4 linked regions of the Rhinolophus ferrumequinum genome follow. The protein of the gene in region 1 interacts with the protein of each later gene in a pairwise test. Links are inferred from orthologs where the notes say so. Each region holds a gene or a part of one and is shown in the gene's direction. Other genes may lie near its edges. The genes, in order: PLSCR1, EWSR1, RGS3 and ANXA11.

Region 1 (7,417 bases):
GCAATTGCCATTGTAATCCCATTCAGGGTCCATGGGTGGGACCGCTGTTTCTCCTGGGGGGTATTTGTTGTCAGACAGATGTAAATTGTTAGAAAATTTTCTGGCCTCCTTAATTGCCTGTTCCTGTTCAATGTCTGACAAAGTTTGTCCCAGAACTATCATCACATCTTTCCAGGTAGGTTTATATGCTAAAGTAAGGTGTTGGAAGCATCTATACATTTGTCTGATGGTCCGAATGGCTCCCAAGGTCAGCTTTAATTTGCCTGAGCTCAATGAGGGAGAGGGGTCTGTTTATTAGTTGGGGGCCAATTTCTCCTGCTGTTTCTATCAGAGGCAAGAGCTTAGTTGTCCGAACAGCTTTAGGGGCAGGAGAAGCAGGGGCCAGCAGTTGTGTTGGGGACTCTGGGTACAAGGGTGGTGAAGAAGGTAGCCAGAGGGCCTTCTTTGGAGTCCCTGGGGCCGGAGTTGGGTCAGTGAGAATTTGGGGATCAGTAAGCACGGGCTTAGTAGGGCTAAGTTCCACTTTTTGCATAAATCTCTACCACCCCTCTAATAGAAAAATACTTGTATAGAAGGACTATCTGACCATTTTCCAAGACGTTTACAAAAGGGGATGAGTTGTAGAAATGTGTCATAGTTTAGGGTCCCATTAAGAAGCCAAACCTCCCTCTCCCCTAGTTGGTATTGGGGCCAAACTGTATTACAAAAAAAAAAAAGATTAGTTGGCTTTTAAATTTTGAGGATCAAATTGTGACCAATTAGAAAGGGTACATCTCAAGGGGGTACTGGCGGGAATGGACTCTTGATTCCCCATCTAGAAAAGGGAAAAATTGTCTGGGGCGAGGTAAGACTGCCCCTCGAGACAGTGGCAGACTATCCCACCTCTTTTCTGGATTTGTAGGGGTTGCGAAAGAGTCCTGGTAGTTCCCGTGTTCTTCTAGGAGTCGAAAAAGGCTCGGTCAGGAGGGGGAAATTATAGAGGGCTAATGGTCAAAGCCCAGGGTATGATTTTGATTATTCCATTCGGAAGGAAGTACTCAAGCCCTCATGCAAGTAGCTGTCCCTTTGTCCCTCCATCTCTCAGTCTGCTGGTATTAGCGTTACCCATTGTTGGGCAATAGTGTTCAAAAAGAACAAGATCTTAAGGGATTGGAGAGGCAAATTTCGGAGGTAGGAGAAAAAGTTCTGAAAATGTTGAGAATCTCCTCTGAAGGTGGGAAAGGCAAGAAAAGCTTGCCGACCCTTACTCACTGCCATCCAAACAACTGGAGACAAAGGATGCAATCCAAATCATGGCACCAAAATGTTACGGGAGTCTCAGTTCTTCTTGCTGACACAGTGAAGAATCAAAGTTCAGCAAGCTGATTAATATGCAAGCAGGGTTTATTAGTGATACATTCTCAGGGAAGAGGTTGGGGAGAGGGAGAAAGAGATTAGAGAAGCCTAGGTCCCGGATATTAGTGATATGTTCTCAGGGAAGAGAATGGGCCTAGCAGAGGTGAGAGAGAGAAAGGGGGAGGGGGGAGAGAGAAAGAGAGAGAGAGAAAGCGTGAGCAAGAGAGCTGACGTAAAAAAAAAAAAGGGTGAGAGAACTTGCGTCAGTAGGACTTATACAGGGAGTTATCTATTGATTTTAGGCCGGAGAGGTGGGTGGGGGAGGTGGTGCATGCTCTTTCATAGGAGGGCATGACTTCCTAAGATGGGTGGAGGTCTGTTGACTCAGATCCTTATCTTGCTCCACACCACCTCTTGTCATCTGTTGTTATAAGAACAGATATGTGGCTGGAGGCAGTTAATCAAAGCTACTTGTGAGCTTTTTCTGTAGGCACTAAGGACCACCTCCCACTCCTCCTCCTCCTACATTTTCTAGCTTCTACCTAACAGTAGGATGGGTAAAGAAGGTGAAGGGATTAAGAAGTACAAATTTCCAGTTATAAAAGTCATCATGGGGATATAAAGTACAGTATAGGGAATATAGTCAATAATATTATAATAACTATGTATATTGTCAGTTGAGAACTAGACTTACGGGATGGTCACTTTGTACATTATGTAAATGTCTAATCACTATATGGTATACCTGAAACTAATACAACATTGTATATCAAAAGTAATTCTTAAAAAGTTGTCCTGATGTTAAAAATAAATAAATAAACAAATGTCAAGGAAGAACTCATACTGGATGTCCTGAGGTACAGAAAACTTTCTAAAATAAGATGCAACGCCTAGAAGTCAAAAGTGAAAAACACAGTAAAAGATGATTAAAAATGAAAACTATGTATTGTTAAAGCAAGTTTAAATGTGACACAATCCGGAGACTCACTGAGCAAAAAAAAAAAAAAAAAAATTGTACTCTATTAAGCAGATGAGGAATTGAATTTACAATATATACAGAGCACAACAAATTCGCAAGGGGAAAAATGTCCTAATCCAACAGAAAACTATGTATTAAATATCAGATATTTCACAGAATAAAATGGTAAAATGTTTAGCAATAATATAAAAAATTACTCAACATTACTAACAACTCGAATTAACAAAAACAATAATAATAGCATAATACTTGCCAATCAGAATAACAAACATTTAGAAATGATTATCAGGAGGTGGCGATCCATGGTAAAACAAGCATTCTCATATTTTATTGGCAGAACAGAATAAGTTTCTAAAGTGTGTACAGAAAAATAAGTGCAAGGACGATGACTACAACATAATTTGTAATTATGAAATTAGAAGCAAAGTACACCTAAATGATTAGATCAACGATACAGTTCTGTATTAAAGGCAAGGGATTTCCAAGAAGTTTCATAAAGTGGAAACACAACAGAGAATAGTTTGCATAAAATAATCCTGTTAACGTGAAAAACAAAACTATGTACTGTTAGGCACGGCCAGAGGAATGAGTCATGGGAGACTAAAATTGGACTATTAGAATTTATTTGGCGTGTTTGAACTGTGGGAGGTCAGGCTAGAAAAGACCACAACCTTTTGGAGCAAAAAGGGGTATGGAGTTTTACCGGAGGGGGTCAATGAGGTTGTTCCCCCTTCAATGCTTCAGGGGGTTTTCCTTGCATTGTCTCTAGCAACCAAGGGTTTTGTTTGGGACGTGACCAAGCCCTGGGCTCCACACCCTGCCCCTCTAGCCTCCCTCGGTCCAGACCTCCTAGGCCCTCCCAGGCCTGCTGATCACGAGCCATTAGAACAGCATAAGATGGTTTCTACTTTCTAGGTGGCTTCTCCAAGCCTAAAGCAACATAAGCCGGCAGGTACAGGTACAAAGACAAGATGGCTTTTAAGATAAGAAGTTTCCTGTTCTGTCCTAAATGTGGCCTAACGTGTACATTTGTGTATATAGTATGTATTGAGCACTTACTGTGTGGCAGGCATCAGTCTAAACTTTTTGTATTTTAATTTCCTTAATCCTCATAAAAATCTTTGAGGTAGATATTATTACTACCTTCATTTTACAGATTAAAAAGGAGACACAGACTGTAATTTGCACCAAGTCACAGAGATGAGAAGGGATTCAAACCAAGTTGCTTGGTTTCCTCCCTCCTTTTTCAGTCATATTTTCTCAATTTCGCTATCCCTCCCAACTCCTTTCTTCTCTCCCGCAACCTTCCTTCTCTCTTAGTAAATTTTCAAATGTCTCTTAACAGTGTCATGGGGAGAAAAGTGGGGGATGCAGAAGGTATGTTTCACTTATTTTCTCCACATTCAGCTTTACTGTGTGGAAGATCATGTATCGCTTTTGTAAATGAAAATTTTAGAGAAAAAAAAAAGAATGAATCCTTCAGTTCAGTTCAACAAATACTTGTTTATTGGGCTTGGTTGCCACTCCTGGAGGGGCCTGAAAAACTAAACATTCTAAACGCATCAGGTCGGTTTGACTCTTAAACGAAGTTAACATCGTTTCGTGGAAAGAGAGAAACAGAGAAAGAGACAAAGAGCAAGAGAGCGAACGTGAAAAGACGTCATGAAGGAAAACAAGCTGGCCCCATCCGCGTTTGTCCTCAGCCCCGGTCACTGCTTCCAACCGGAATCGCCGGGGTGGAGGTCAAGCCGGGGTAAAGGAATTTCCCAGCACTTCAGTGCTTTCCGCCCCACCCCGAAGGCAAACCCTCCCGCGTTCAAGACTGTCCGCATTCTAGCCAGTGTTGACTTCCCCATGAAATGCAACACCAACAATTTTGGAGTCTCTGAGAGTAGGAAAGGGGGCAGGGGGACATCTCCGCGCCCGCCCCTCTGGGGAGCCGGCCTCGAGGCAGCTCTCCCGCCCTCCGGCAGCCACGCGGGACCCCGAACTCCCACGGGGACTGGCTAGACAGACCCTTTTGTGTACGTAAGATCCAGGAAACGAAACCTAGAGCCGGGTTTTCCGCCCCGCGTAGGTCCCTCGGAGGCCCCCTTCCTGGTGACTTCAGGGAAGGTTGTGTAACGCGCCGCGCTGAGCTGCCGAGGAGCCCAGGGGACACAGCGACCGCCAGGCGCCCGGGTTCCCGGCCCTCGTCTCGCCCAGCGCCGCCCCGGAGCAGCAGCAGCCACAGGTGGGTAGGTGCGCTCTCCGCCCTGCCGCGGGCACGGGGCGCGGGGCCTGTGCGGGTTCCGGGCCTCGCGGGGCCCGGGGGCGATTCGTGACCGAGGGGCACGAGGGCTGGCGGGTTGTGCTTGCGCTGAGGTTGGGGGGTAGAGGATGGGGGTTGGGGTCCCAGCGGTCTCGGGAAGCCACCTCGGAAGTGGAGCGGGGGCGCTCTGAGGGTCCCCGGGTGACCTACCTGGTAGAGACTCGACCAACTATGGTGTTTCCTTCCCTGAGAACATCTCTTCCCAGCGAGGAGGGCAGCCCTGAATCAGGGCAGGAACCTGGGCTCCGGGGTGTCTGCCGGCACAATGTGGGGTGTTAGAAGGGACGGTTAATAGAACCTGCCAGCGGCCACTTAACAGTAAATATGAATTAGGATACAGCTGGAACTATGCTAGGACCTGGAACACCAGAAGAATTGGGAAGCTAGAGGGGCTGTGTAGCATAGAGGAGAAGACCATTATCTCGCAGTCCACCTGCCTGACTCCAGTCCTGCCTCTACTGCTTATATCCGTGGACTCTGAGCCAGTTTCTTCTGCATATATGTTCCTTCCGTACCTCATCTCTGAAACTGTGTAACTAGTAAAAGAGTTCTGAGAGTTAGAGTATGACAGGTATTAGTGTAACTTCGTTAGACAGGGTCTGGCACTGCAGAAAGTACTCAGTGAAAGCTTTTGTTATTTTTAATATTTGACAAAGTCTCTGCTTCTCCCCGCTTTCTACCTGGTCCCCCTGTGGTTTTATTTATACATTTATTCCTGGAAGTGCTGGCATGCTCACTACCCAGTTCCAGGAAGAGGCAGAAAACTATTGTTTCTCCTGGATTAGTAGTATTAGGTACAGGGTTAGTACCGTACAGGTAGGTTTCACTTAGTGTGAAATGTCAGGTGATTTGGGGTCCCCTTTTTCTCCTTTGAACTTTTATACCAGCAGAAGTTTCTCCTAATACCACACTGGTGAGTATGACGATTGTAGCACTTTGAACACTGAAGAAACACAAGGGATGGTAGTGAAATGAGTGGATTTCTGCAGTTGGGTAGAAAAGTGGCATGTGAAATAACTAGGTCAAGATTAAGCAGCCTTCGCATCTGCAAGAGAGCTGTTTTGTCTGACTGAAAGGAATGAAATTAATAATTCTGTACACACATTGTTGAATCAAAAAGCACCAATTAAGCGCTTTGTCCTGGACAAGACAGGCCATGCACTGGCCTTTCAGAGCTTAGAGTGCAGCTGGGGAGACAGTTAAGGCGTAACAACCTGTGCACCTCTCCATCTTCCTGTCTCATGGTCTCTCCCTGTGGTCTCTCTCTCACACACAGACCTTTCATGCCCTTGAATGAAACAAGCTCTGTGCAGCCTCAGGACTTCTACATACTGAGTTTCCTGTCTATAATGCCTCACCCCACCCCACCCCCACACCTTCATGGCCTGGTTGATTTCAGACTTCTTCAGCTCTCAGATCTCGCTTTCTTTACAACCCCGTCAACCACCACCAGCATCTAAGCTAGTGGCCCCATAACTCTTTATTATAGCACCATTATATTTATTTATAGCATTTAGAGTATTTCTAATAATATAATCTGTCATTTTCTTCTAGTGATTGCTATAATGGCTTTCACTATGCCTTCAGTCAGTATTCTTTGAAAAAAGGCACAAGCTTTGTACCAACCGAATATTTATATACATACTTGTATATATGAACATGTGCATTATAATATGTGTGTATATATACACACACACTATTATACTTTCTTAAACAGTGCTAAGTTGAAAAAGCCAAAGTACTGTAGTTAATCAGTACTAGTAATTGTACTTTTCATTTTCCAAATTTTGAATTTAAAAAATACTTTCACCTTTCCTGGTAAAAAGAAAATAGCCTTGCGTAAGTTTGAAATTTGCAAGAAAGATACCATAAATACAGTCTTTTAATAAATTTTACTGAAATTTGACAATTTGAGAGAAATTTTTTTTTCAATGAATCAAAGACATGAATGCAAAGGACATGAATCATTTTAATTCAACTAGTTAGTGAGATGTATAACATTAAGTGACCATTCACTCTTTGAGTGTAGTTTCCTCGTTTATTAGGAGGCAAGGAAACAACTCAAATTTGTAGGGAGCTCTGAGTTGTCAGGAAAAGCTTTTCAGGAGAAATAACGCAATCAAACTAGGATAACTGACCTAAAGTTTAGTTTTTGTTTCTTTTGTCTTTTTGGTTTACTTGTTAGTGTGGTAGAACACTTAATTTAAGCACTACTCTCTCAGGTGGTCCCAGTTGATGTAATACCTACTTTTTTTCTTCACTGTTTACTATAAAATGCTCCCCCCAAATGGTTCTGAGCTTATTTGTTTTGTTTCCTTGAACTCTAAATACAAGATTGGGTTTTTACAGGAAGACTCCCTGGTATCAGGAACTTTGATTTGTAAATGGGTTTCAGTCACCCCACTTCCACCCTATACCTTGCACATAGGGTGGACTTGTGTACTCAAATGCTCAACAACATCTGGGCCACCTGGATGTATAAACTCATCTGTTTTTGCTCTGCTTATCTTTTACCAGAACCATAGTTCAACAGATGAAATATTTTTGTCTTTTGATGTTAGCTGAAGCTTTTTAGATGCACAAAATTTACCTACAAGCATAAGCTACAAAAACATGGAAATTATTTTATTTGTGACTTACCTCAGCAAGTGTTGGGTTCTCCACATATTCTTAGGAAGTTAGGGACATAGAATTCCGTGATTGTTTTTAAAGCAGTTAACATTTTGCTAAAATAATTAAGAGCATATATGCCCATCTTGGGACTCTGAGAAAAAAGTGTTAATTGGTTTGTT
Region 2 (7,393 bases), on another chromosome or scaffold:
TCATCCAGTTTCAGCCACCCCGTACCCACTGTTTCCAGAGCCCTACCTACCTGCTCAGGTCTGTGACTCAAGGCGCAGCTTTGGGCTCAATAACACATCCCCTATTGCCCTGAGCCAGGGAAACTTGCTCCCCATACTGGGATTCAGCCAGGCCTCAGCAGCTGGTGTCCCCGATCCTAAATAACTACAGGGGTCTGCCTGTGCCCGCTGTTCTCTCAGATTGCAGTTTTCCCCAACAGGCATTCAGCATCTGGAGCAAAAGCCTGTGTTTAATGCACATGCACCACCAGCCATAGGTGGTTCTCCCTTTCGGCGCCCAGAGAACCCCAGCTCATTCTCACCCCTGGCCTTTGTATTTTCTGTGCCCTCTGCTTGGCCCTCTCCTTTTTCACTACATTTTAACCCCTCATCCTGCACGCATCAGCTTAGATGCCACCTCTACTAGGGAGGTCCAGGTTAGGTGCCTCCTTGGGCCACCTCAGCACTCTAGGCTCCCCTTTAAATTGGTATTGGTACCTCCACCTGTGGCCACGAGCCCCCAGGCCACAGCCCAGAAGCCTGGCTGGAGGAGAACATGGAGATGCTCCTGGAACGTCTACGTGTGCACAGCTTCCCGGCATTGTTGGGTCTGACCCCCTTATGCCACCTCCTTTCCAGGCACCTTGGGGGCCCAGCCTCAGAACCCACATGTCCATACAGGCCCAGAGCCCAGCCAAAGGATACAGGCCAGGCCAGCAAGGAGGCCACAAAAGAGTTGCAGGAAGGGTGGCTCAGAGCTGAGCAGGGGTGTCAGGGCGAGCAGCAGCCATGGCAACAGCCATGGTGGCAGTGCCCCATGGGGCCGTTGTGGGCGGTAACCCTGCCCTGCCAGCATGGCCAGGTGGACAGGCATATATCCGCAGCCACCAGCTGCACCGGACACCCCGAGGCCTGCCAGTAGCACAGCCATTAGCCCGGCGGCCAGGGCGAGCAGCATGGAGGCATGCAGGAACTGCAGGGTGCCCAGGTGGCACTCTTGCTGCCAGCCCAGTGCAGGCAGGAGCAGCAGACTCAGGAGCAGGCTGGGTAGGGCCGTGTGGCCTAGAGCATGGGTCAGCAGCCGGTGTGCTGGGAGAGAAGAGGGGCTTATGTGCCAGGTTAGTGGCCCCAACCCCAAAGGCTGTCCCAGGTGTGCCAGGTTGGGAATTACCCTCTGCCAGGGCCACCCGCTGAAGCCAGCCTCCCCTCCCCAGGAGCCAAAGTCTGCCCACTGCCAGCAATCACTCGTGGAGGGAACCAAGGGTTTCCAAACACTGGAGCTGCTCCCAGGACGTATTAAGCAGAACAAGGTGGACCTACCACTCGGTCTTCTCAAGAGTAACCAACTATGGATGAGTCACTTAACCTCTGTGAGCATCATTTGGGTTCCTCAGATGTAAATGGAAGCTGCTATTATTATTGGGGAACAGGTACTCAGCTGGGGTCACTCCTGAACCCTCAGCGCCTCCTCCCCATTCTCATGCTTAGCTGAAAGCCTTAGTTCTTATTTCAAGGAAAGCCCTCAGAAAGGGAAGCTGTCTGAAAAGAATTCCTATTCACAGGCTCTCACCCCTCCGCTGGCTCCTCCGCCCTCCCTGGCTGTGGACGAACTAGGAGTACTCCCATCCAAGGCTGACCTTCCCAAGGGTACTGGTTCTATCCCTGCCTGACCACTGCAGGAGGCACACAGCTCCTGCCAACTGGTCTCAGGCCCTAAAGCAAGTCTCTTGCTTCCTCCAAGGCCCATGTGACCAGCCCTCACCCTGCCAGGGATCCAGCAGCAGCTCCGGGGCCAGGGTGAGGCTGGGGCCGGCCCCCACCAGCCACAGGCTGCTCATGAGCAGCATCAGGACTGAGGAAGCAAGAGGCAGCGCCGGGGAGAGGAGGGCAGGGGGGCCTCTGCCACGCATAGCTTGGCTGAAGGTGGTCAAGGGTGGTCCTGAGGCTGCGTGCTAGGGGTAAAGGAAAACAGTAACAACAGTTATTATTGCAGCTTTTGTCTGACTCTTTCAACTACCCTACCAAGAGCTCCATTTTACAGAAGTAGGAACTGAGGCTGGAGAGGCAGTCTCAGCAACTTGGCCAGAGGAACTCGGACCGTAACCATGTGCTTAGCCATCTTGCCAGTCCACCTGCCTATGTGTGCGGATGGAGGGGCGAGGCCAAAAGAGCCCTCATGGGCCCTGAAGAGGAGCCAGGGGTGGGAGGCACAGGGCCAGGGAAGTTAATTGGGGCCCTGGACTCCCAAAGAGGTACCCCTGGGGCAAGTTCAGAGCCATCTCCAGCTTTCCTCAGGCTGCGACCAGCCACCTTCCTCCCTACCCCCTCTACTGTGTCCAGGCTTAGAGCTCTGGATGGCCTCAGATGCCCTTGACCAAGGGAGAGAGACCAGCCAATGGGCAGGCAGATTAGGGAGGGAGTGGGGCAGAAGAGCTTGGGGGGGGGGCAGCAGGAGTCCCACACCCTGAGAGCATACAAAGTGACACTGGACTGAGACATCCCCTTCCTTAGAACCCTGAGCACAGCCCCTCCCCTTCTCACAGGACCGGTCCAGTATCCACTTCTTCCTGTTGTGTATCCCTGGGCAAGCTTTGCATCCTCTAAGCCTCTCCTTCCTCTTCTGTAAAATGGGGATTAATAAAAGCCTTTCCGTGTAGGATGAGAAAAAGGAATGGACTAAGGCAGGGCGAGCCCACAGCAAACTGTGGGAGGCAGATGCTTCAGCCTCAGTGGTTCAAGCTCTGGCCTTCAATCGTGCCCATTCCCTGCCCACATGACAAGGCTTTTTCTCCCCTGTGCTCTCCCTTCACACCCCACCTGTCCTGCAGGCCCTGCTGGAATCCCCTCAGCCTTGGCCAGGTCTGTCTATCTCAGGAGTCCCACTGAACTGATTTCAAAGGGCAGGAAGCAAAATCCCACAGAGACAAGGTGGCCTCATCTGCTCCCTTGCCAAGGGCACCCTCAGCATCAAAACCCACCTGCCAGTTTCCTGCAGGAAAAATGTAGAAAGCTCCTCTGTCTGCAATGTCCTTTCCTCCATCTCTTCAACAGGCAAACTCTTTTCGCACCCCTTGAAGCCCAGTTCAAATGTCCCCATCTCCATCTCTGGGCCCCCACATCATGAATCTTATCATATCTAATGAGCACGGCTTAGCCTTTCTCCCTGGCAGGTGATCTGAGCTGGAGTGGGGGTCGGGGGATTCGCTCCTCTCACTCATCCCCAAGTTCCTCAGGGTGCTGCTCCCCACATATTGCTGGTGCTGTATATGTATTCACTGAAAGAAAGACACTAGCTTGGCACCACGACCCGCTGAGGGATTTGAGTGAGATTGGGTTGAGAGTAGAAAGGGAGACAAGTGCCACCCTTGTCCGGAAACAAGGAATCCACTTTAGGCTTTCTCCTGCACCCTCACAACCAAGTCCCCCCTCCACCTCTCCAGTCCCCCGCCCTCAGGTACCTTAGCAAGGGTGAACTCGCCCATGGACAAACAGAATTGGGATTTGAACCTCCCTGGCCTCAGTCTCTTTATCTATAAAATGGGGCTATAAACCATCAGACCCTACCTACCTTACTGGGAAACCGGCGGACAGAATGGGAAGGCAAGGACGGGGAAGATTCTTCCGGGTGATGGAGAGAGTGGGGGTCCCAGGGTGCGGGTCGGACTCAGCTTTGTGACTTTAGGAAAAGTACCCAAATTCCTTGGACCTCAGTTTCCCCTTCTGTAAAAACAAGAGTATTGGATGAAGAATGATTAAAGGGCCTTTTCAACCTCGACCGTTACTGGGGGGCTCTCGGGGCCGGTCGCAACGTTCGGGGCCTCCCATCCTGCCTCAGCCCCCGCCCTCGCCGGCCTGGGCCACGTGTCCGGGGTACTCACTGCTGAGCGCGCCCCGGCCCGCGGAAGGCCGGGCACGATCCCAGGCTGGGAGTCGGTACTCAACCTTCCCCCCAAGGCCCGAGCGCCCCAAACCCATTCTGCTCGCGGTCGGGCGCGTGACCCCGGCGGACCAGCCGGCGCGCCACCCCCTCCCCCGCGGCCCGCCGATTAGTCAGCAGTTGTTCTAGGCCCAGATCCCTTCCCCCAATCCTCCCTCCGGCCTCCGTTTCCCTTCAAGGCAGACTCTTCAGAGACAGTCCCTAGAGCCAGCGGACGTAACCATCCAACAATTTAGCCTCGTGCGAAGAATCACTCCGCCTTCGTATCAAGATCCGCTCACCGGCCGCTTCAGCCCCTTCGCTGCTATTTGGACCCGCGCGTCAAGTCCGGCGCTCTTTAGAGAGGATTAGGAAAAGAGTAGAGGTCGGGAGAACGAGAAAAACTGTGGCTCATCCCTCTTTCCCACACCCCCGTGGCCTGGCCCCATGGTAGCGCCCGAGGTTGCGGGTTTCGCGCCTGCGCAGTGCGGCGCCTAGAGGGAAAGCGAGAGGGAGACGGACGTTGAGAGAACGAGAAGGAAGGAGAGAAAATGGCGTCCACGGGTGAGTGTGGTGGAAATGCGGCCGCGCCGGCGATGGCCGGGACTCCCAAATCGGGACAGCTCGTCTCTGGGGGTGGCCGGGACAACTGAGTGGAGTTTCTGAGAAGTGTGTGAGGTACCCGCCGCGGCCCGACGAGCTCGAGGGCCCACGTTCCCGTCCCCTCCCCCACTGGGTAGGCCGGCTCTGGAACCTTCCAGCGCCCCCGCCGTACGGGGGGCTCGCGGCGGCAGGGGCGCGCGGGGCCTGCGGTGGCCTCCATTGTGTGGCGGCCGTCGGGCCCCGCGCGCCCGGCCTCCCGCCACGTGGGCGGGGCCTGCGGCCTTCAGAGCTCCGCCGGGGATGGCGCTCGGTCCGGCTTCGAGCCGGGCACCCCAAAACCTGAGGTGGGGGGGGCCGGACGATGGTTCCCGAAGTCGTGAGCCCGCTGCCCTTCCGACTTCCCCACCCCCATTTACAGAGAGACGGCCCAAACCCGAAGGAGACTCTATTTCACCGAAAAGCTTGGGGAGAAAGCAAATAAAAAAAGCCATCGTGGATTTGTGAGCCGAGGGGCGCCGACCTATGAGCAGGAGCCCCGTCATGCTTAGGGCCTGGTCTGCTGGGGCGTCCGGTGCCACCTAAGCTGCCCCTTTCGGCGGGTTCCAGCCCCAAGCCGAATTTCTGCCCGACTGGGCTTACAAGGGATGTGCTCCCCCTCCCTTCAAAATCTCCCCAGTCGGCTGTTCCCTCCGGCTTCTTCGTTTTCACCATCATTAATCCCGCCCCAAAAAGCAATTAAGTGGCTTCTCAGGGTTATTTTTCATCAAACGCCGAGAGATCCGTTGTATGATGAGACCAGCCCGGATCGCGAGGCCAGAAATCCCTACCGAAAGAAATCTCTCTAGTTTCTGGCCTAAGAGAAACAAAAGGCCCGGGTCGGCATTTGTACTATGCTTAAGCAGTCGTCTCACACTTGCACTTGCCTAGGTTAAGCCGGTAGAGAGGGAAGGAGGCGCGGAGTGGGAGCTGGAAATGTGGTGTCTAGGGTGGGCCTTCCTGCGAGGAGTATTTAAGAGTGTAGCCTAAACATCACCTGCACTTGGCAGCCTGTTCCCGCACTAACCTGAGGTTATCGGTAGGGTGGGGCATTTTCCCCCGGGCCTTATTCTTAGGCGGTCTAAGTCTAGGCCTTAGAAGCTGTAGGAGAAAAGGTTAGACGGAGCTCTTCTCCAACTGTGTGGTCAGTAAGCAGGCAGGTAAATGCTGGTTGTTGGTGCCAGGGTACAGAGTGTCCCTAGAAGAAAGGACTCTGAAATATCACAGCCCAAGACATCCTGGTGGAAAGGGATTTCCTCAGCCCATTCCACCTTCCTCTTCTCCCTTCCCTGTTAAAGCTTGGGCAGTCAAAATGTGTTAAAATTTTTGTGGCTGGATATGCCAGTTTTTTGTCTGCTTTGCTCAGACTCTGTTTACTGCTAACCTCTGAGTACTATGTACTATATTAGTATTACAGTTGCAGTTTATGTAGAAAGTGACCCAGCTGGGGTATGTTGGGGGAGTCACATAACTTATCTGAACTTTGGTTTCCTTTCGTTCAAAATAAAGGAGCTGCTACACCTTTTAAGAGCTTTCAAAGCCCTTAACTTTTGACCTTACAGCAAAGCATTTTTGGCTCCCACAAAATTGCCTCATACTGACTTTCACTTTTTATGTAGTCTGAAGTTCTAAATCTCCACAGTTTGTATAGTGACTGCCCTAAAGTATCTAAAAGCCCCCATATCTTGGGTAGTGTTAAATGTGTTTCCTCCTCACTTGCATCTATATAGAAAAGTATCTAAAATGCAGGGTATGTCCATTTTAACAAATTAAAATGCACACCCCGAGTGACTGCATGCAGATATTGCCAGCACTCTAAAGGCCCACCTAGATCACAGCCCTCGCCCCCAGTCTGTCCATTTTCAGTAAAGTCTTCAACTGCACATTTGGGGGTTAAAAGCAAAACAGTGATCGGTAAATAATCTGACTAGTGTGTGACAAGAGCATTTTTGAGGCCATATAATTGTGTGCTGTGAGTAGATAACGTAAGTTCTCCTAAAACAAATTGGCTACCTTCCATAGCCCACCAATGTGGGGCTAAAGCATCTGGTTTCATGTTGATTGAGAACATTGGTTGTTCTATATCAGCTTTGCCAGTTTTATGTTTTACATAACCGTTCTTGTATAAAAGTGCTCTTGCAAACATTGAACTTAGATGTCATGATTTAGAATCATTTCTCAAGCAGAAACCTCGAAATGTAGGTTAAACTATCAATTTTCAATGCTTCCTTGTTGTATTTTGTGAATACCACATGGAATAAGTGATTTTCATTTACTTTTTATTTGCCACATAAAGAGCATGGTTTGTAGTGCCATTGAAAATGCCTTAACGTTTAACTTTCAAATGCTATAAGGTTGTCTTTGAACAAATCAATTCATAGCCTTTGGGCAGTTGATTTAATAATGTTGATTCAGGTTTCTGAACTAAGGGTGTACAGAGGAAAGAAAGTTGAGTCAAGTGTAGGGGTAGAAAGATGAGCCAACTGCAAGAGATGAGTTCAGGCAGGCCTTTGATGGGGGGGTGGAAACCCTTCCATAAAGAGCTGAGATGTCAAACTGTTGCTTTCAGAGGAAGGTCTACTTTCTAACTGGAATAGAAAGGACACTTGTTTGGGCCTAATGGAGGTATTGTCTTCTGACAGATACGTATATTCTTATGGAGAGCAAAGAATTGGACAGAATTTTTTAAAATAATTAACTTTATATATGTATACTCGTACATTTAATTCGGAAGTGCTGTGAGAACTTCTTAACCATTTTGTTTTCTGTTTTCACTACTTGTAGAGACCTCACTGGACCAGAATTTTTAGTCCCTTTTGC
Region 3 (8,379 bases), on another chromosome or scaffold:
GTTTCCCATTGTTCAGTTCCTCAAGCGTACAATGCGTTTCTCATATTCTGACCTTTGCATGTTTTGTTCTTTATGCCTCTGTAACCCTTCCTTTACCTCCTTTGCTTGGCTAAATCATCCTTCAGGTCACTTTCTCTGAGAAGTTTTCTCTGACTTCTTTATCATCTCAGTCTGCCCATCTCCCCAGTCTAAGTGAGATGTTAATCTGTTTGTGCAGGTTGCCATGTTTCCTTTGTTGTAACACTCACCCAGTGTCTCACTAGATTGCAAGCTCCATCTTGCTCACTTCTGTATCCCCAGTGCGCAGTGGAAGGCCCAGCACAGCACAGGGCTTAGCTTAGCAGACGTTTGTTGAATTGAGTTTTAATGTGTCAGTAGCCACGGAGGGCTCAGTCCTACTAGTTTGTCCCTAGCTATTCTGAGCAGGAGGGTTGGTGTGAAAGATGACATTCTATAGTGGGTTTTTGGCTAGATTCTTATTTCTCCACAGTTTATTTATTACTTTAGCAACTTGATTCATTTAACAACTCTGAACCTTAGTCACCTCATCTATAAATACAAATGCTTGAATTTCCTGAAGGCAAATGGTGGGACCAGATGATTTTTTTTGTCTTTGGTTACTAGTATTTTATGCATTAGTCATTTATTTTCCTCTACTGTGCAATGATTATTCATGTTCTTTGATACATTCATATTTTTCTTACTTGATTTGTAAGATTTCTTTGTATATATTGGCCATATATTTAAAAAGTACTTTAAATTCATTTTTTAATTTAAAAAATTTTTTAACTTTTTATGGCCATAGAAAAGCTTTTAATTTTTTTGAGTTTTTTCAATCATATAAAAACATGAAATACATTCTTAGCTCACTTGCAGCACAAAAATAGGTAGTGGGCCAGATTTGGCTTGTAGGCATATTTTGCCAACCCTTGCACTAATAGGTTCATTAAATTTGAACCACTTTTGCAATCCTGGAATGAATGTAATGATCGTAAATATACTGCTGGTTTTAATATGCTAATGTTTAGGATTTTAGTGTTTATATTCATAGGTCAGATTGTTCTAGCAGAGATTTCAAACTCGTTATAGCACAGAAATTTATTTTATTTGGCCTACATAATATTTCAAAATTTCTGACTGAATAGCCAATATTAAAAATTTGGGAGATACTATATTAAAAATTAGATGTTTCTGGCTTTTCCTTAAAAACAGGAATGTGTCAAAACTGAGAGAATGTGGGCCCAGTATCGTCATAATTTTAATAGATCTTCTCAGTGTATGTTTTCTATTTCATTAATTTCTACTCTTATTTTTATCTTTGACCTTTCGTCTGTAGTTTTCTGTTGCTAACCTTGTCTGATTGTTGTCTTTGCCTAGGCTTGTACCTAGCATGAAAAATCTTTCAGTTTTTTTCTAGTGCTGAAACAGTTTAAATGACATTGGCATTATGTGTTTCTTGAAGGTCTTATAGAATTGGCCTCTAAAACTATCTGGGTCTTCTATAATTTTGTCAGGTAGAATTTTGATTTCCTTGTCTATTTTATCTATGGTTAGTGAGCTATTAAAAATTTCAAACTCTTGTATCAATTTTAGTAAGTAATGCTTTCTAGAAAATCATCCATTTTCTCCTCAGATTTTCAAATTTATAAATAAGGTTGCAATGGTTTCCTCTTATAATAGAAAGAATTACCTTTGTATTTTGGGTATCTTTCTCTTTCCTAAACCTGTTTACTTGTAGTTTTCTTTGTTTTGCCAGAGTTCTATTTTATTTATTTATTTATTTAAAGAACAAGGCTTTGGTTTTATTGTTGAAGCCTATTGTAAAACAAAATAAATTTAAACTTTAACTATATTATTTCCTTTTTTTAAAAAAAACAACACTTATATTTATTTAAGTGTGTTTTTCCAGGACCCATTAACTCCAAGTCAAGTAGTTGTTTCAGTCTAGTTGTGGAGGCGCAGCTCACAGTGGCCCATGAGGGGATCGAACTGGCAACCTTGTTGTTAAGAACACCACGCTCTAACCAACTGAGCTAACTGGCCGCCCCTATATTATTTCCTTTTAAGATTTTCATCTTAATTAGCTTGTTCCCCTTCTAACTGTTTGAAATGAATCTTTAAAAACTTTTGAAAATCTTTCTTATATTCTAAAAAAAATCATTTTTCTCCTTGAACTTTCTATTCTATTCCATTGATCTGTTTGTCTTCTTTCTGGTACTACATTATTATAATATTATTTACATTTGGTAGTCCTAGACCCCTTTATTATTATTTTTCAATAATTATTTGGCTATTGGGCCAGATGATATCTAAAGGAACTACGATTCTTTAATAGCTAAGGTGAAAATGCACCCAAGTCCATTTAGTCCCTTCCCTCCAAACCCAGGTAGTCCTTATTCTTCTAGATACAGAGTCAGTCTTAAAAAATGCCTACAATCGATCTTTGTATCTGAATGTGGTATATGTATGTAGTGTATTTAAGTGGTTTTTTTTTGTGTGTGTGTGTCTGTGTGGTGTGTGTCTATGTGCTTGTATATAGGATGCATGTATAGTGTGTGGGGTTTGTGTGTGTATATATATATGATGTATGCAGTATGTTTATGTGTGTGTATGTACTAGTATATGGTATGTGTATGTGGAGTGTTAGTGTTTATACATGGGAAGTGTTATGGTATGTGTGTGTGTGTAGTGTGTGGGGTGTGTGTGAGGTGTAAGAAAGATACTGAGGCCAATGGCCAGGGCATGTCAGAAAGCTGGGCTTGCTCCTCAAACTCCCCTGCCTTCTTGGGGAAAGCAGGGCCATAACCACGACCCCTTCTGGATGTCCCCTGTGGACAGTAGAAATAGATTAGTAGGACCAGTCTCTCCTACAGTGGTACTGCCCGGGCTCCCACTCACTCTTGTTCTCCTTCACTTGAGAAAAGAGTGACCTGCCCCTTTAAGAGAAGGATGTTTCCAGTGCTCTACTAAGTAAGGGGCCTTATGGTTGGTGGTAAAGGTGGTGGAGGTGGTGCCACCACAGGAGTCGGATCAGGATCAGAGTGGCATTGGGGTCTCCCAACTAAATAGGTTAGCTGCTGAGTAGGGCAGGAGCTGGGAGGGAACGTACAAGGCAGTGGGACTTTTGTCCTGAGTGGGGTGAAGTGGGACTCTTTGTCCTGAGTAAGCTGAAGTGTGGTCCTCAGTCTTTTTACCCCAGACCACATACAGATAGCGCAACTCTGCCCAGCTCTCCTGCTGGACCCCAACCTCGTGAGGGTGCATTTGCAGGTTGCTCACAGCTTCCTGAGTCCAAGGTGATTTTCCCTAGTATGGGAAATTTTCTCTAGTATTCCCTAGAGAGCAGAGCAGAGCCTCTGGCAGAGCTGTGAAGGGGCCACTATCCTCTTGGGCACATCACTCTCCCCTTCCCTGTGGACCTCCTAATTCCTCCTGGGAGAGAACATCCCTCTCAGGGGGCATCCTCAGGCCGTGCCTACCCATGCTCCCAGCTTGCTCCTGCAGGTCTACAGCACCTCCAGCCTCAGTGTCCTGTCTGTATCCTGTGGCTGGAGCCTGAGGTGGCCCATTTTCCTTGGATAGATGGAATGGCAGGGCCGGGATACCTCCCTGCCCAGAAAGGATGCCTGGACTCAAACTTCCCCAGCTAGGAGGATCAGGCACACTCAAGTCCAGGGTGCAGGTAAGTCCATCTGCCACCGGGTTGGGGCCAGGGAGGTACGCTTGTCCCCTGCTGAGGGCAGTGCTCATGGTGTGGGGCTGAGGGAAAGCAGAGCAGGGCCTCCCAAAGTGCCAGGATTCAAACAATCCACCTACCTTTTATGAGACTCATTTGCACCTGACCACTAGTTTGCTGATTTCAGGGCACCTTCTCTAGTTTCAGCTCCCTGCTGGTGGCCAGCTGGCCCTGTGGGATCTAGTTTTCTTACCTGCCTCAAGAAGGCAGGTCTGCTACTTCCACTTGCTATTGGCCATGAGGCAGGTCTGGACGCCAAGGAGGAACAGAAGGAGGATAGCCTTTGGAGCAGACAGGACTGGGTTCAAATTTCAGCTCTCCCAACCTTAGATAAGTTACCTACTCTGCCTGCCTGAGGTTCAGATTTATCCCTGGTAAATTGGGGCTAATGCTTTCTAGGGTTACTGTGAATATTTAATGAGATGATGTGTGTAAATTTCCCAGCTCAGCCCCTTTCACCTGGTACTCAATACATATAACTTTTCTCCCCACTTTCTCTATTGCATCCCCCAACTCTGTCTTGCGTGGATCACTCAGTCACAAATATCCATTTGGCAACTTCAGATATTTCCCATTTTCAGACTTACATAAGACTAGCAACTTTCCCTCCCACAGCAGCAACAGTCAGAGATTTGCAGAGCAGATGTCTTGGTGTGAAACTGCTCCCAGGAGGCGTCCCATGAAAGTTTGCTGACAAAGAGCTCAGGGGCTGACCTTCCTTCCAGCACTGCCTCCTCGCACCAGGCTCTGGAGACTGAAAGCATCTACCTCCTCTGCATAGTATACTTTTCGGTCCCCTCATATGCTGGGGTGCCCCATGGCACCAGGCTGCAGATGGAGGTCTGTGAGGCTGGCTGGAGCACGCTGCTGTGGTCTGGACTTACGCTAGGCTTCTCTCATCCAAGAGGGGCCCACGAGGGAGATAGAGAGGGCAGGGTTTGGGAAGGGGCTGCAGCCTGGTGGGTGGGCCCGTCCAAATGTGGAGAACACTTTTCCAAAGCCCCTGGGCCAGGAGGGTGCTCCTTTGCTTTTGCTCTGGTCCGGTGATTACAGGTCTGAGCTTCAAAGCATGTTACAAACCGGGCTAATTGCTAGCCTGGGAGAACTGGACGAGCAGGCCAAGCGCGCCTGAATGGGCAGCCCAGGGACTGCGGGCCTCTCGTGGGGATGGCACTTCCAGCCTCGAGCGGTCTTGGAGCCAGGAGACCTGGTGTGGCCGCCGGGTCCTGCGCGCTCCTGGGGAGGACTGCGGTCCTAGCCGCGGTGGCTGCCCTCGCAGTTGGGACGCCAGCGCCATTCCGCCTCTGGCCAGCGTCTGCTCTGTCAGGTGGAAACCTTCCCATTCAAACCAGCGCGGGCCAATCAGGGACTGGCGCGCCCGCCTGTTCAAACGCGCGATTCAGCCCGGCCTCCGGCTCCCGCCTGGGAGACCGGTGCGGGGCGGGGAGGTGGGGTGCGGGTGAACCTGCTGCCTCGGTTACTGTGGAGCAACACAGACGCTTCGGGTTACAGGCTCACCCTCCCGACCCGGAGCGGGCGGCCATGGAGCACTCCCTGCACCGCGTCTCCCTCGGGAGCCGGCGTGCCCACCCGGGCTTGTCCTTCTACCTCACCACCTTTGGTAAGTGCCCTCTGCGGCCCGCTGCCGGGACTGCGGCACCCTGCTCTCAGCGCCCAGAAAGGGCGCCCCCGTGGTGATAGATGAGGCTGGGAGCAGATGAGCCTTCTGTTTGGGGGCACACCTTCTCTGGCCTCTTCCTCCTGTGGTTGCCCAGGTGGGGCTCAGGACACAGGCTCAGACCGTTCAAGCTGCTGGGCACCACCTGCTCCCTGGCCACTGGTGCCAAGTGCAGTTGGTTCTGCCTCACTGGGCTGGAATAATCACGCCCCAGTTAATCTTTCAGAGACCCGGTTTGTCACCGCTGAGTTTCCCATTAGCAAGCAGCTCAGGGTTAAATCAAGGTCTTGTTGCTACGTCTCAACCTCTCCTCAGTTCTCTTTCCTTTGGTGCAGGGACAGGGCAGGTGCCAGGTTAGCCCAAGTGGCCTTGTTTCCTTGTGGGCTAACCTTGGAAGCAGTGTGACTGCTCCAGTGGACATCTGACCTGTAAGAGAGATGGGAGAATTCTCTTCTCCAGGAGTGAGCAGGCTCTCAGGAGGGTCACAGGGCTGCTCTGGGGACTTGAAAGGAATGGGCAGTGGGTGCCTGCTCCCAAGCCCCTAGGTAGCAGGACTGAGTTCCCCGAAATAACAGCTGGGTAGCAGCTCCCCAAGGGTCCAGGCAAACCCAGCCTTCCAAGTAGCCATAGTAAAGCTAATAGCCGGGTCCTAGAATACAGCCCTTTACAGTTCTCCATTCCTTTCCTCACTGGTTCTGCAACACCTTGTGGAGAGGGAGTTGTGTTTCCTCTGTGAAGACTTGAGATCCAGAGAGAGGAAGGCCTCCCAGTGAGCCAGTGACAGGAGTTGGTACCTGAGCTCAAGCCTTCTGAGACGACCTGTAAGGCACATTTGTTTTGAACTTGTATACAATTTTTTTTATGAAGGTTGGGGAAGTTACTGCAACATAAGTGGACTTTGCCCAGATTTCAAAGACAGAGCACCTGGGGAGTTAGGCCCTTCCTGGGTCCGGGTCCCTACTCTCAGGCTACCTCTGTTGACACACTTGGCTCTTCACAACCTGTCTTTTCCTCTAGTGGCAAAGGAAGTGATGGAAAAGCAGTGGCTTGGCCCCTAGAAGTGGCTGTGGTCTGGCATCCTGGAATTCACTGGTCCAGTTGGTGGAGGATAGTAATGAGAGTAATTGACTAGCCACCACTATTGAGACCTTTCCGTGTGTCGTGCCTTGTGCGACGTGCTTTACCTACATTATCTCATTTAATCCTCCCAACCCTCGGAGGCAATTCCTGTGAACCCCCCCATCACCCCCCCGTGGGATTTGGGACTGTACTAGACAAAGGAGGTCTCTGGGATGGTCTGAGTTGGTGGCGCTGGAGTGGTCAGAACGAGTGTTGGGAGCTGGAGACCCTGCTACCTTAGCTGTTTCCTGATTCAAATGTAAAACTATGTTTCACTGTTTTCTCCTCTTTATTCTCATGGTGAGATGTATTCATTGTTGAAAACTTAGTGACAAGAAGAAAGTAAGAATCACCTGTAATCTGAAATCTGACTCCCCAGAAAAGACCATTGTTAACATTTTTTGGTTTATAAACCAAAATCCTCAGACTTCTCTCTCTCTCTCTCTCTCTCGGATCTAATTTTAACAAAATTCGGATCATATTGTAAGTACAGTTTTGTAACCCGCTTCTTTTCCTTACTGGGATGAGGTGACTATTCCCTCGCATCCGTCCACATGTCTTCTGTTGAATGAATCTCCCTGCCAGATCTGGGAAGTTGAGGCGTGTCCAGTGCAGCAGGGAGTGGATGCCCTGCCCAGCCATGGCCTCAGGGCTGGGTCGGATGGGGAGCAGGGAAGGTGGCTGCTTGAACCAGTCAGTGCCTGACCTGAGTGTGCAGTGGGCGGCAGGAACCTGGTGGGGTCGAGAGCCTCCTGCTCTAACGTCTCCTCCTGCCCTAATGTGTGCAGTCTCCTCTCAATGTCCCCGAGGACACTGATGGACACTGGAAAAGTTCTCGCCTGTTTCCTTCATTAACTGTTTTCTTGACAAATGCCACCCCTCTTCCAGGCTGCTGACTTTTCTTCGTACAGCGAGGGATCTTTGCCTGTCTGATCATGAGTGAAGATTCATATCAGTGGTTACCAGCCTGGCCAGTTATCAAAAGCACCTGGGGAGCCTGTTAAAAACAGATTTCTAGGATCTTCTCCCAGAGATCATGTTTTAATAGGTCTGGGGCGGAGCCTGAGAATCTAATTTTAAGAAGCCACAGAAGTATTTCAGCGATTCAGGCAGGTTTGGGAGCTATAGAGTCGGTTTTGGAAGCTATAGAGTCAGTCAGTTTTGTTAGCCATGAACTCCTCACCAGGAAGGTCTTTGCTAAGTTTTCCTCTGTTCCCTGGCCTTTCCCCAGCATGGCAGGTACCTGGCCTTCAGCATGGGGCTTTGCCCTGGTAGAACCAGATGAAGGTGCTGCCTAGCTGGTAGTTTCCTGAGCACAAACATTTAAAAAGTTTTCTATTTAATTAATTTTATTTTTACTTTGTTTCAATTACAGTTGATAATATTATATTAGTTTCAGGTGTACAGTAGAGTGGTTAGACATTTATACAGCTTACGAAGTGATCCCTGATAAGTCTAGTACCCACCTGGCACCACACTTATGTACTGGAATCTTCTTGACTGTATTCCCTATGCTGTAGTTTATTTACATCCTCATGACTGTTTTGTAAGTGCTAGTTTGTACTTCTTAATCTCTTCATCTTTTTTACCCAGCCCCATCTGGCAACCATCAGTTTGTTCTCTGTATCTATGAGTTTGTGCCTGTTTTGATTGTTCATTTATTTTGTGTTTTAGTTGCCACATATAATTGAAATCATATGGTATTTGTCTTTCTCTGTCTGACTTATTTCACTTAGCATGATACTTTCTAGATCTATCTGTGTTTCTGCAAATGGTAAGATTTCATTCTTTTTTATGGCTGAGTAATATTCCATTGTATATATGTGCCACCTCTTCTTTGTCCAAT
Region 4 (8,005 bases), on another chromosome or scaffold:
GAGGACACCAGAGCTTCCCCTTGGGCCAACCATGTCCAGGCCTACCCTCTCTGTTAATTGTCAAAAGGCAAATAGAACCAACAGCGCAGTTTGTAATATAAGAGTAAAATTCCGTAAATCGATAACGTAATTAGACTTAGCTAATTTGCAGTTTGACTCACCGCATAGATTGCTATCTAGCCACCTGGCAGTTCGATCCTCCCTGATATTCAGCTGTTTTCTCTTTGTCTCTGTCCTCACTGACTGACTTAACAACTCTGTTTTGTTCCCTTTCTCAAGGCTACCCATATCTCCTTAATCCATTTAACCAACAGAATCCTAACCTGGAAAGGGCAATTTCTTAATCCACAGGCGTCCAGACACCGGAATACACATAAAGCCCCAGGCCGAGATGGCTGAGTCAGAGTCCAGAGTCCAGAGATAACATTATCTTAAAACAGACCAGACCCCGGGAAGGATGTCAGCCCTCAGACCTGCCTGACGGACTCCCCCTCTTTTATCCTTCTTGTGTACCTATAAAACCATCTGCCCATTCCAGGAAGGGGGAGGTAGCCTTTGGACAGGAGTCACCATCCTCCCAGAACGCCGGCATTCTGAATAAACCTGCTTTTCTTTCCATTAGCCTTGTCTCTTGACTTTTAACTTTTTCAAGCAGCAGGCAGCCAGACCTTAGCATGGCATCAGTAATAGCCCCAAATAGGAAACAACCTAAATATCTTTCCATAAGGAGCTAGGTGGTAAAGAATGGTGACATGCACGACGGCGCATACTGTGCAGTCATTAGGAAGAAATGAGTTGATCCAGGTCCGCTTGCATTGAAAGACCCTCCAAAATAATAATTGTTAAGAGAGACGGATTGTAATGGTGGCACTAAATCTTCTATTTTTGAGATTTGGATCTCTGGTGTAATTCAAATTAATAAGCAATTTAGCATGGGATTTTTTTTTTTAACTTTGTTTTTTCTTTTAATTTAAGTGTGTTTTTCCAGGACCCATCAACTCCAAGTTAAGTAGTTGTTTCAATCTAGTTGTGGAGGGTGCAGCTCACAGTGGCCCTTGCGGGGATTGAACCAGCAACCTTATTGTTAAGAGCACCTCGCTCTAACCAACTGAGCCATCTGGTTGCTGCCACTTGGGACTTTTTGGAAGCTTTCTTTTCTTTGCCTCTTAATGATTCTGCTCCCTATACGTTTGCTATGCAGTTTCAATGTTTGTATTTACTTAGGTTCAGTGTAAGCCCTGTGACTTGGGGAGAGGTTTTGCATCTGTATAGGATCCACTCTCCTGGCTCCAACTTAAATCTACATAATGTATGCAAAGGTTGTGATAACTGGTTTTACTATACCTTCCCCCATCCCCAACTATAGGAAAACAGAAAACTTGAGACCAAAGACTCCATGCAGTAGTTTGCAGTAGTTTTTAGCAGACTCTGCCCCGCTGAGCCTCCTCTTTAATAAATCTTCTATATTTCTGACTCATGAATTCTTTCATGGTACGTGAGCAAGTAGACACAACAATAATGAGAAAAATTATACAACACAGCTTTGTAAACAATGTATCTACATGAATATGCACACACACGCACACACATACACATGTACATACACACATAGAGTGTGTTGCAGAGAGAAAGATCTGGAAGGGCAACCTAAAAAGTGTGTTGAGGGACTGAAGAATGAATTTCAGTTTGTGGGAAAAAAAGGGGCCACATACTAAACCCGACAAGCTCAGGGTAGGTCAGCATGGCAGGCCCTACAAACTCAGAGACCGAAGTTAACCACACAGGATGGTCTGAACATAAAAATCCCTCACTAAAAGCGGGTCATGGCCAGTAGTCACATCCTTGGCCTGTAGCTTCTTTGACAAAGGTCAACACCCTTACCTTAAGTGAGCTTGACTATTGTCTTTTTTGCATCTAAGATAACATACCCTTGGAAATGTCAGAGTGATCCCTTTTTCCGGACCCTCCAAGGCATAACCCACCACTCCAGGCAGGAAACTACAGAATCCCTCATTGCTGTTCTTGTCCCAATTACCATCTCTATGTGATAGTAAAATGCTATTAACTATCCTGTACCCACCAATATAAAAGAAGTACTATGTGTCCCTCCAATTTACTTTTTATCCAATCCCAGAGATTTTGAGACAGGTTAGTTAGCACGTCCTTAAGTAGACAGGGAGGTCCCTGGTGGAATAAACAAAGACAGCCATATCCTAAAACTCCAGGTTTTGAAATCACTCCTTCGCTCCAGGACAAAATGTAACAAGGCCTTGAGGTTAATCATAAAATTCCTTTTGTTCTGACACACGGAGCAGATCTGATAGATAAGAGTGGGTTATTTTGCTAATCCCTTCAGGGTGGGCAAGCAGAGCAAACATGGTAGACGAATTTCATTAAAAGGTGCCAGTTCCCCTTCCCCAAACAGGCAAGGGAAGGTATAAAAGTAAGAGCTTTTGCCTCAGTCACTGGGCACCCCCATTGGGGACGCCTTCCTGCTCGGGAGCTCTGACCCTTTGCTTTCAATAAACTCTCCTCTTTTTAAAACTCTTTGCCTCTCCTGGGTCCGTGTTTCCATTCTTTGGTCACGATCCCGGCACTCACACTCACTCACTCCAAAATTTCCTACATCATTTGGGAACTCAGATATATTCCTCCTTCAATCCCTCCCCCCTTTGCCTTCCTCCCACGCCCTTAATCTACCACCAGTGGATTTCATGTAACACTTCTTCTTTGGCTCTTATAAAGTAAATTGCAAAACCGCCATTTTCCGCAGCAAAATCTCAATCCGTTGAGATTTTGTTTCCCGGCAATTGCCATCAGTTTGGCTCAAATAAACTCATAAGCTTTCTCTTAGGCTGGACGTTCTTTCATAGATAATTTTTTTTTAAAAAGATTTTATTGGGGAAAGGGAACAGGACTTTATTGGGGAACAGTGTGTACTTCCAGGACTTTTTTCCAAGTCAAGTTGTTGTCTTTTAATCTTAGTTATGGAGGGTGACGTTCAGCTTCAAGTTGTTGTCCATTCAGTCTTAGTTCTGGAGGGCACAGCTCAACTCCAGGTCCAGTTGATACAGGATAGTTAGCATGTCCCTAGGTAGACAGGGAGGTCCCTGGTGAAATAAACAAAGATAGTCATATCCTAAAACTCCAGGTTTTGAAATCACTCCTTCTCTCCAAGACGTAATGTAACAAGGCCTTGAGGTTAATCATAAAATTCATTTTGGCCTGACAAATGGAGCAGATCTGATAGATGGAGAGTGGGTTACTTTGCTAATTCCTTTAGGATGGGCAAGCAGAACAAACCAGGTAGACGAATTTCATTAGAAGGTGCCAGTTCCCTTCTTCAAACAGGTTCCCTTCTTCAAACAGCTCCCTTTCCCCAAGCAGGCAAGGGAAGGTATAAAAGTAAGAGCTTTTGCCTCAGTCATGGGGCACCCCCATTCGGGACCCCCTCCTGCTCGGGAGCTGCAACCTCTTCTCCTGCCTCTAATAAACTATCCTCTTTTTATAACTTTTTGCCTCTCCCTGGTCAGTGTTTCCACTCTTCGGCTTCACGAGACATGATCCCGGCCCACACTCAGAAACTGCTAGCAGATCCAACATCACCTACATCACAGTTGCTGTTGCTAGTTGCAGGGGGCGCAGCCCACCATCCCTTGCGGGAGTCCAATCAGCGACCCTGTGGTTGAGAGGACGTGCTCCAACCAACTGAGCCATCTGGGAGCTCAGCAGCAGCTCAGCTCAAGGTGCTCGTGTTCAATCTTAGTTGCAGGGGGCAGAGCCCACCATCCCTTGTGCGACTGGAGGAGTTGAACTGGCAACCTTGTGGTTGAGAGCCCACTGGCCCATGTGGGAATCGAACCAGCAGCCTTCGGAGTTAGGAGCACGGAGCTCCAACCGCCTGAGCCACTGGGCCGGCCCTTTCATAGATAAATTTTTAAAAAATATTTTATCACAGGATAAAATGTCCTTTACCAGGAGCCCATCCAGGATACTACAGTACATTTAGTGTTCATGTCTCCTTAGGCTTCTCTTGATTGAGACAGAGGGTGTCTCAGATTTTCTGTTTTTGATGACCTCCCCGGTTTTGAGGTGTACTGGCTAGGTACTTTGCAGAATAGTCCTCAACTGGGATTATTTTCCCGCATGATTAGACTGGGATTATGTGTTCTTGGAAGGAAAAACACACAGGTACACACTGTCACTTGTTTTATTACTCTTGGTGTTGACCTTGATCACCCGCTGAGATAGTTTGTCAGAGCTCTCTACCCTAAAGCTATTCTTCCCACTCCTACCCCATGTCTGTACTATTGGGTGACCTTTTCAATGCAGAAAATTTTCTTTACCTTAAAGAGTTACAATGGTACACAGGCCTGGAGGGGGTTTGTAGAATCCCCTTCCCGAGAGGGCGGCGCTTGCGGGGCCCTTCGCGGAAAGGATGGGGAAGAAGGGGCTCCATGCCGACCTCAAGGCGCTTCGGGCCACTGGTCGCTGGAAGGCCAGCAGCTTCCATCACCCAGCTCCAGGAGGCGGCTCTCCGCTTTCTGGTCCAGGAAGGTTCTCACCTGGAGGCGGGACCGAGCTCAGGCCACGCCCCACGCGCCCCCGGTCCCGCCCCTGGAACGAACGCTCCGCCCCGGGTGCGTTCAGACCGCCGCGCTCCGGGAGTTTTCCTCCCAGCTGGCTCCTCCTCCTGCCCTGCCCTGGTGGCTGCTGCGCCCCCAGGTCGCAAGTGTTCCCGGTGCCCTGAGTGTCCCGAGAGCCGGAACGGGACAGAGCTCCACGTCGATCAAAGGCGCCGCTCCCGGAACGCCGGCGGAGAGAGCTGCTGCTGCCCGCGTCCCTTTTCGCTCCTCGCGGCCCCCTACCCTGTGGCCAGTGGCCAGGTGAGTGAGGGTCCCCAGCCAACCGAGGACACGGGACTGGGCAGCGGCAGTGCGCCGCGATCCCCGCTGCTGAGGCCTGGGACTAACCCCTTTGCCCCGTCCCGGCCCGGCCCTGCGGCTTCCTGGTTGCACTGCAAGGAGGCGCGGGGCGGGGCGGGGGGGGGGTGCTGTCTGGCTGGTCCCGGACGGTTGGTCCCGGACGGGCTGCATCGGCCTGCATCAGCTCGATCTACAGCGGGGACTGCCCCCATGGCCAGGGTCACGTGGTTGTGCTGTGCAGCCGGGGTCGGACTCAGCGGGCCTGGGCCGGCTTGGGACCTGGTGATCCCGCGACCAGAAGGCGACTAGCTGGTGTGGGCCATGGCCGGTCGCCTGGTCCCCTCTGACCCAGCCGAGTTCTCGAGTGTTGTGTGTGTGCCCTTCCGGGAAAGGCTTGTACCTAGGAGAGCTAGTAGAGAAGGCTGCCTTCAGGAACTTTTCCCCAGACCTGGGAGGACACAAATTCCTGGTAGCTGGTACTGTTGGAGTTTGTTTGTAAGGCACTTTATTTGGGGAATGTGGGGTTCATCCAGGTCCTATGTTCACCAATAAGTTTACCTTCTCTCTGCTTTCCCCCATCTTCAGCCCTGAGAGGGTTTCAGGGATGGATTCTTGGACTTTTATGTCCCCTGAAGGCTTAACAAGGTAGAAACCCAGTCTGTTGTCTTAAAGGAGTGTTGTGAAGTTCCTCACATAGAGACTTTGGGGGGCAAAAGTTAAGCTAGGCAGTGCTCGCCTAAGTGGGGAACAGTCTGCCTGCGGTGTTTCTGCCCCCATCCCTCTGATCAGTGACTTTTCTGTGGAGGGGGGTGTTTTAGGACAGACCCTGGGTATTGAGGTACCTAGCTGCTCTGTCTCTCCCCACCCTTCACTTTGTTCCCAGCTGCCCTGACCTGGGCACTAGTAGTGCTGTGAGGGGTGAGCCTATGCCCTGCTGAGTCCAGGAGCTGGACAGGCAGGGCATGTTACCTTGCTCACCACTAACTGGCTCTCATTAAGTTCCTTCAGTCCTTCCTTGCTCAGTCAATTGTTGAGACTTCCAGGAGGATTAATAGCTACCCTTCCCTCAAGGCACTTTCAGTGATGTAAGGTGGTCCACAGAGAGGCCAGGGCAATATGTTACCCTGGCATTGGGTGCTAACTCGGGCTTCTGCATCCCTCCCTAATCTTGTCTCTTACTAGTCTTGGTTTCCTCATCTTTAAATTGGGTTTAATAACAATACCTACCTCACAGGGTAATTGTGAGGATTAAATGAGTTAATATATTTAATAACTGTAGAGCTCAGGCACTGACCTGAACAGGTGGTGACTGTTATACCATGCCTGTGTGATCCAGGTGGATGTCACCCAGAGTGGACATAAAGCTTACAGCAGGGCCTGGTGCAAGGAAACAACTGTGAATATCAACTATAATACTAATAATAGCTGTCACTCCCTTCATGCAGCCGAAGGTCCAGCCAAATTGAACTGCTCTTCTCCTGACCCGTCCCTCTGTCTTAGCTCATGCTGTTCCACCCGTCAGGAATGCTCTCCTTCCCCCATTTCTGCCCATTATTCACCACTCTCCTAGGAACCATCCAGGTGCCTGTTCACAGCAGGAAGGGACAAGACACTGAGCCCGTGCAGCTCTCCTCCAGTCCTTTGGTACTAACCCACTTCTCGATGGGCGTAGTATTTGTATGGCCACGGGACTTTGCTCTGTCTTTTGTCTCTGGAGGGTGGGGGCTGTTTCTTACTCATGTCTCGGTCTCACAGCACCCAGAATGGGCCTTGCCTAATGTGAGTGCCCAGCAGATGTTAGGTAATTGAGAGGCAGGCCAGGGAAGTAAGTTTTCCTGTTGTTAAAATATTAGACATGGAGATGGACATGAGTCCAGACTGAGAGGTGGGAGTAGGAGCTGGCTGAGATGCCAAATAGGCGGCCCTTTGACTGCTTTATGTAGCCAGGGCAAGGATGACAGACAGGGCTCATCCTGGATGGCTGTTCCTAGAAGGCCAAGATAGATTAGTGATGCCTTGGTCACGTGATTTGGAGGAGGATGGGTAGTTTGGGATAAAGGAATGAGAATTGCGTCAGAATAGGTTAGTATGGGTTCTTGGGAATTCACTGCAGAATATGGGGGGAGGGGGAGGGAAGTCCATGTGGGCAGGAAGTGAGTGTAGAAACGGAACCTGTGCTGCGTGCTGGATGTCCAGGGGTCCCAGGGCCTTTCTGGCGCTCTCCCTCCTTCTGTCTTTTTAGCTGCCATCTTCTCCCGGTAAGCCTGAAGCAGTTCCTGACACTTGGTCCCATGAGGGCACGTGGGGGAGAGTGTATGTGGGTGTGTTACATAATCACAGCCGAGCATGCATACTCAGGTTTCTCTGGATTTTTCCCTTATAACACCCTCTGATCTCATTGCCCCAGAACGTCAGGAATTTGAGTGGTCTCTAGATAGGAAAGCTTTTAGGGGAAAGGAAGAAACTGGTTTCCTTGGTGGGAAATTGGACTTTTAAAAGGAGTTGTTGAAAATCAGTGGCGCTTTCTAACAACCACTGAAACCGTACCACATTTGGCCTACTGACCCTGACTCCTGTACCCTGTGAAATAAAGGTCTGATGTCACATGGTGGTTTTATTTAGGGGGATCGTAACAGGACAGCCTGAACAGTGTGACTCGAACCACAGCTGACCATGTTACACTGATGTGAGCACTTAATGGGTGAGGGCAACCAAGGTGTCAGGCGATAGCTCATCTGAGCTGGGTGACCTGGGACAAGCCATGGAGCCACTTAGGCTCCCCGTGTTCTGGATGGTGAAATGCTTACCTCCAATGATTGTTTGCAGAGTCTGGTGAGAACATGTTTGTTAAAGGGGTTTGAGACCAATTAGGGGTGGTGATGACAGTGGTGATATCTTGGGTGTGTCACTGCAAGGAACCTTGAAGCTGGGGGTGTCATGTGCAGGTGGTTGACACCTGTCTCTGCGATCCCTTAGTGTCTAGTCTTCCAGGGGCTTGTACTCCTGAAGTTACCACGGCCTTAGCAGAACCAAAGGGAGGAATCACTTCCGAAATTCAGAGGGAAGTCAGGTGTTCCCCA

Evidence for each region.
Region 2: the proteins of PLSCR1 (region 1) and EWSR1 interact in binary tests that used the Homo sapiens proteins (3 or more experiments, as listed by UniProt). The two-hybrid records come from large-scale screens. The link is inferred for Rhinolophus ferrumequinum from reciprocal best matches to the Homo sapiens genes PLSCR1 and EWSR1.
Region 3: the proteins of PLSCR1 (region 1) and RGS3 interact in binary tests that used the Homo sapiens proteins (3 or more experiments, as listed by UniProt). The two-hybrid records come from large-scale screens. The link is inferred for Rhinolophus ferrumequinum from reciprocal best matches to the Homo sapiens genes PLSCR1 and RGS3.
Region 4: the proteins of PLSCR1 (region 1) and ANXA11 interact in a two-hybrid assay, tested with the Homo sapiens proteins (2 studies listed by BioGRID and IntAct). The two-hybrid records come from large-scale screens. The link is inferred for Rhinolophus ferrumequinum from reciprocal best matches to the Homo sapiens genes PLSCR1 and ANXA11.

What each region holds. Positions count from the first base shown.
Region 1 is NC_046285.1:5,726,040-5,733,456, reverse strand, and holds the start of PLSCR1 (phospholipid scramblase 1), read left to right. Parts: upstream 1-4,150; 5' UTR 4,151-4,547; intron 4,548-7,417. UniProt on the Homo sapiens protein: Catalyzes calcium-induced ATP-independent rapid bidirectional and non-specific movement of phospholipids (lipid scrambling or lipid flip-flop) between the inner and outer leaflet of the plasma membrane resulting in collapse of the phospholipid asymmetry which leads to phosphatidylserine externalization on the cell surface.
Region 2 is NC_046308.1:18,737,397-18,744,789, forward strand, and holds the start of EWSR1 (RNA-binding protein EWS), read left to right. Parts: upstream 1-4,365; 5' UTR 4,366-4,485; coding exon 4,486-4,498; intron 4,499-7,393. Other genes in the region: RHBDD3 (rhomboid domain-containing protein 3), read right to left, coding at 724-1,107, 1,781-1,928. UniProt on the Homo sapiens protein: Binds to ssRNA containing the consensus sequence 5'-AGGUAA-3'. Might normally function as a transcriptional repressor. EWS-fusion-proteins (EFPS) may play a role in the tumorigenic process.
Region 3 is NC_046295.1:65,303,772-65,312,150, forward strand, and holds the start of RGS3 (regulator of G-protein signaling 3), read left to right. Parts: upstream 1-5,166; 5' UTR 5,167-5,278; coding exon 5,279-5,357; intron 5,358-8,379. UniProt on the Homo sapiens protein: Down-regulates signaling from heterotrimeric G-proteins by increasing the GTPase activity of the alpha subunits, thereby driving them into their inactive GDP-bound form.
Region 4 is NC_046299.1:56,055,312-56,063,316, forward strand, and holds the start of ANXA11 (annexin A11), read left to right. Parts: upstream 1-4,700; 5' UTR 4,701-4,886; intron 4,887-8,005. UniProt on the Homo sapiens protein: Binds specifically to calcyclin in a calcium-dependent manner. Required for midbody formation and completion of the terminal phase of cytokinesis.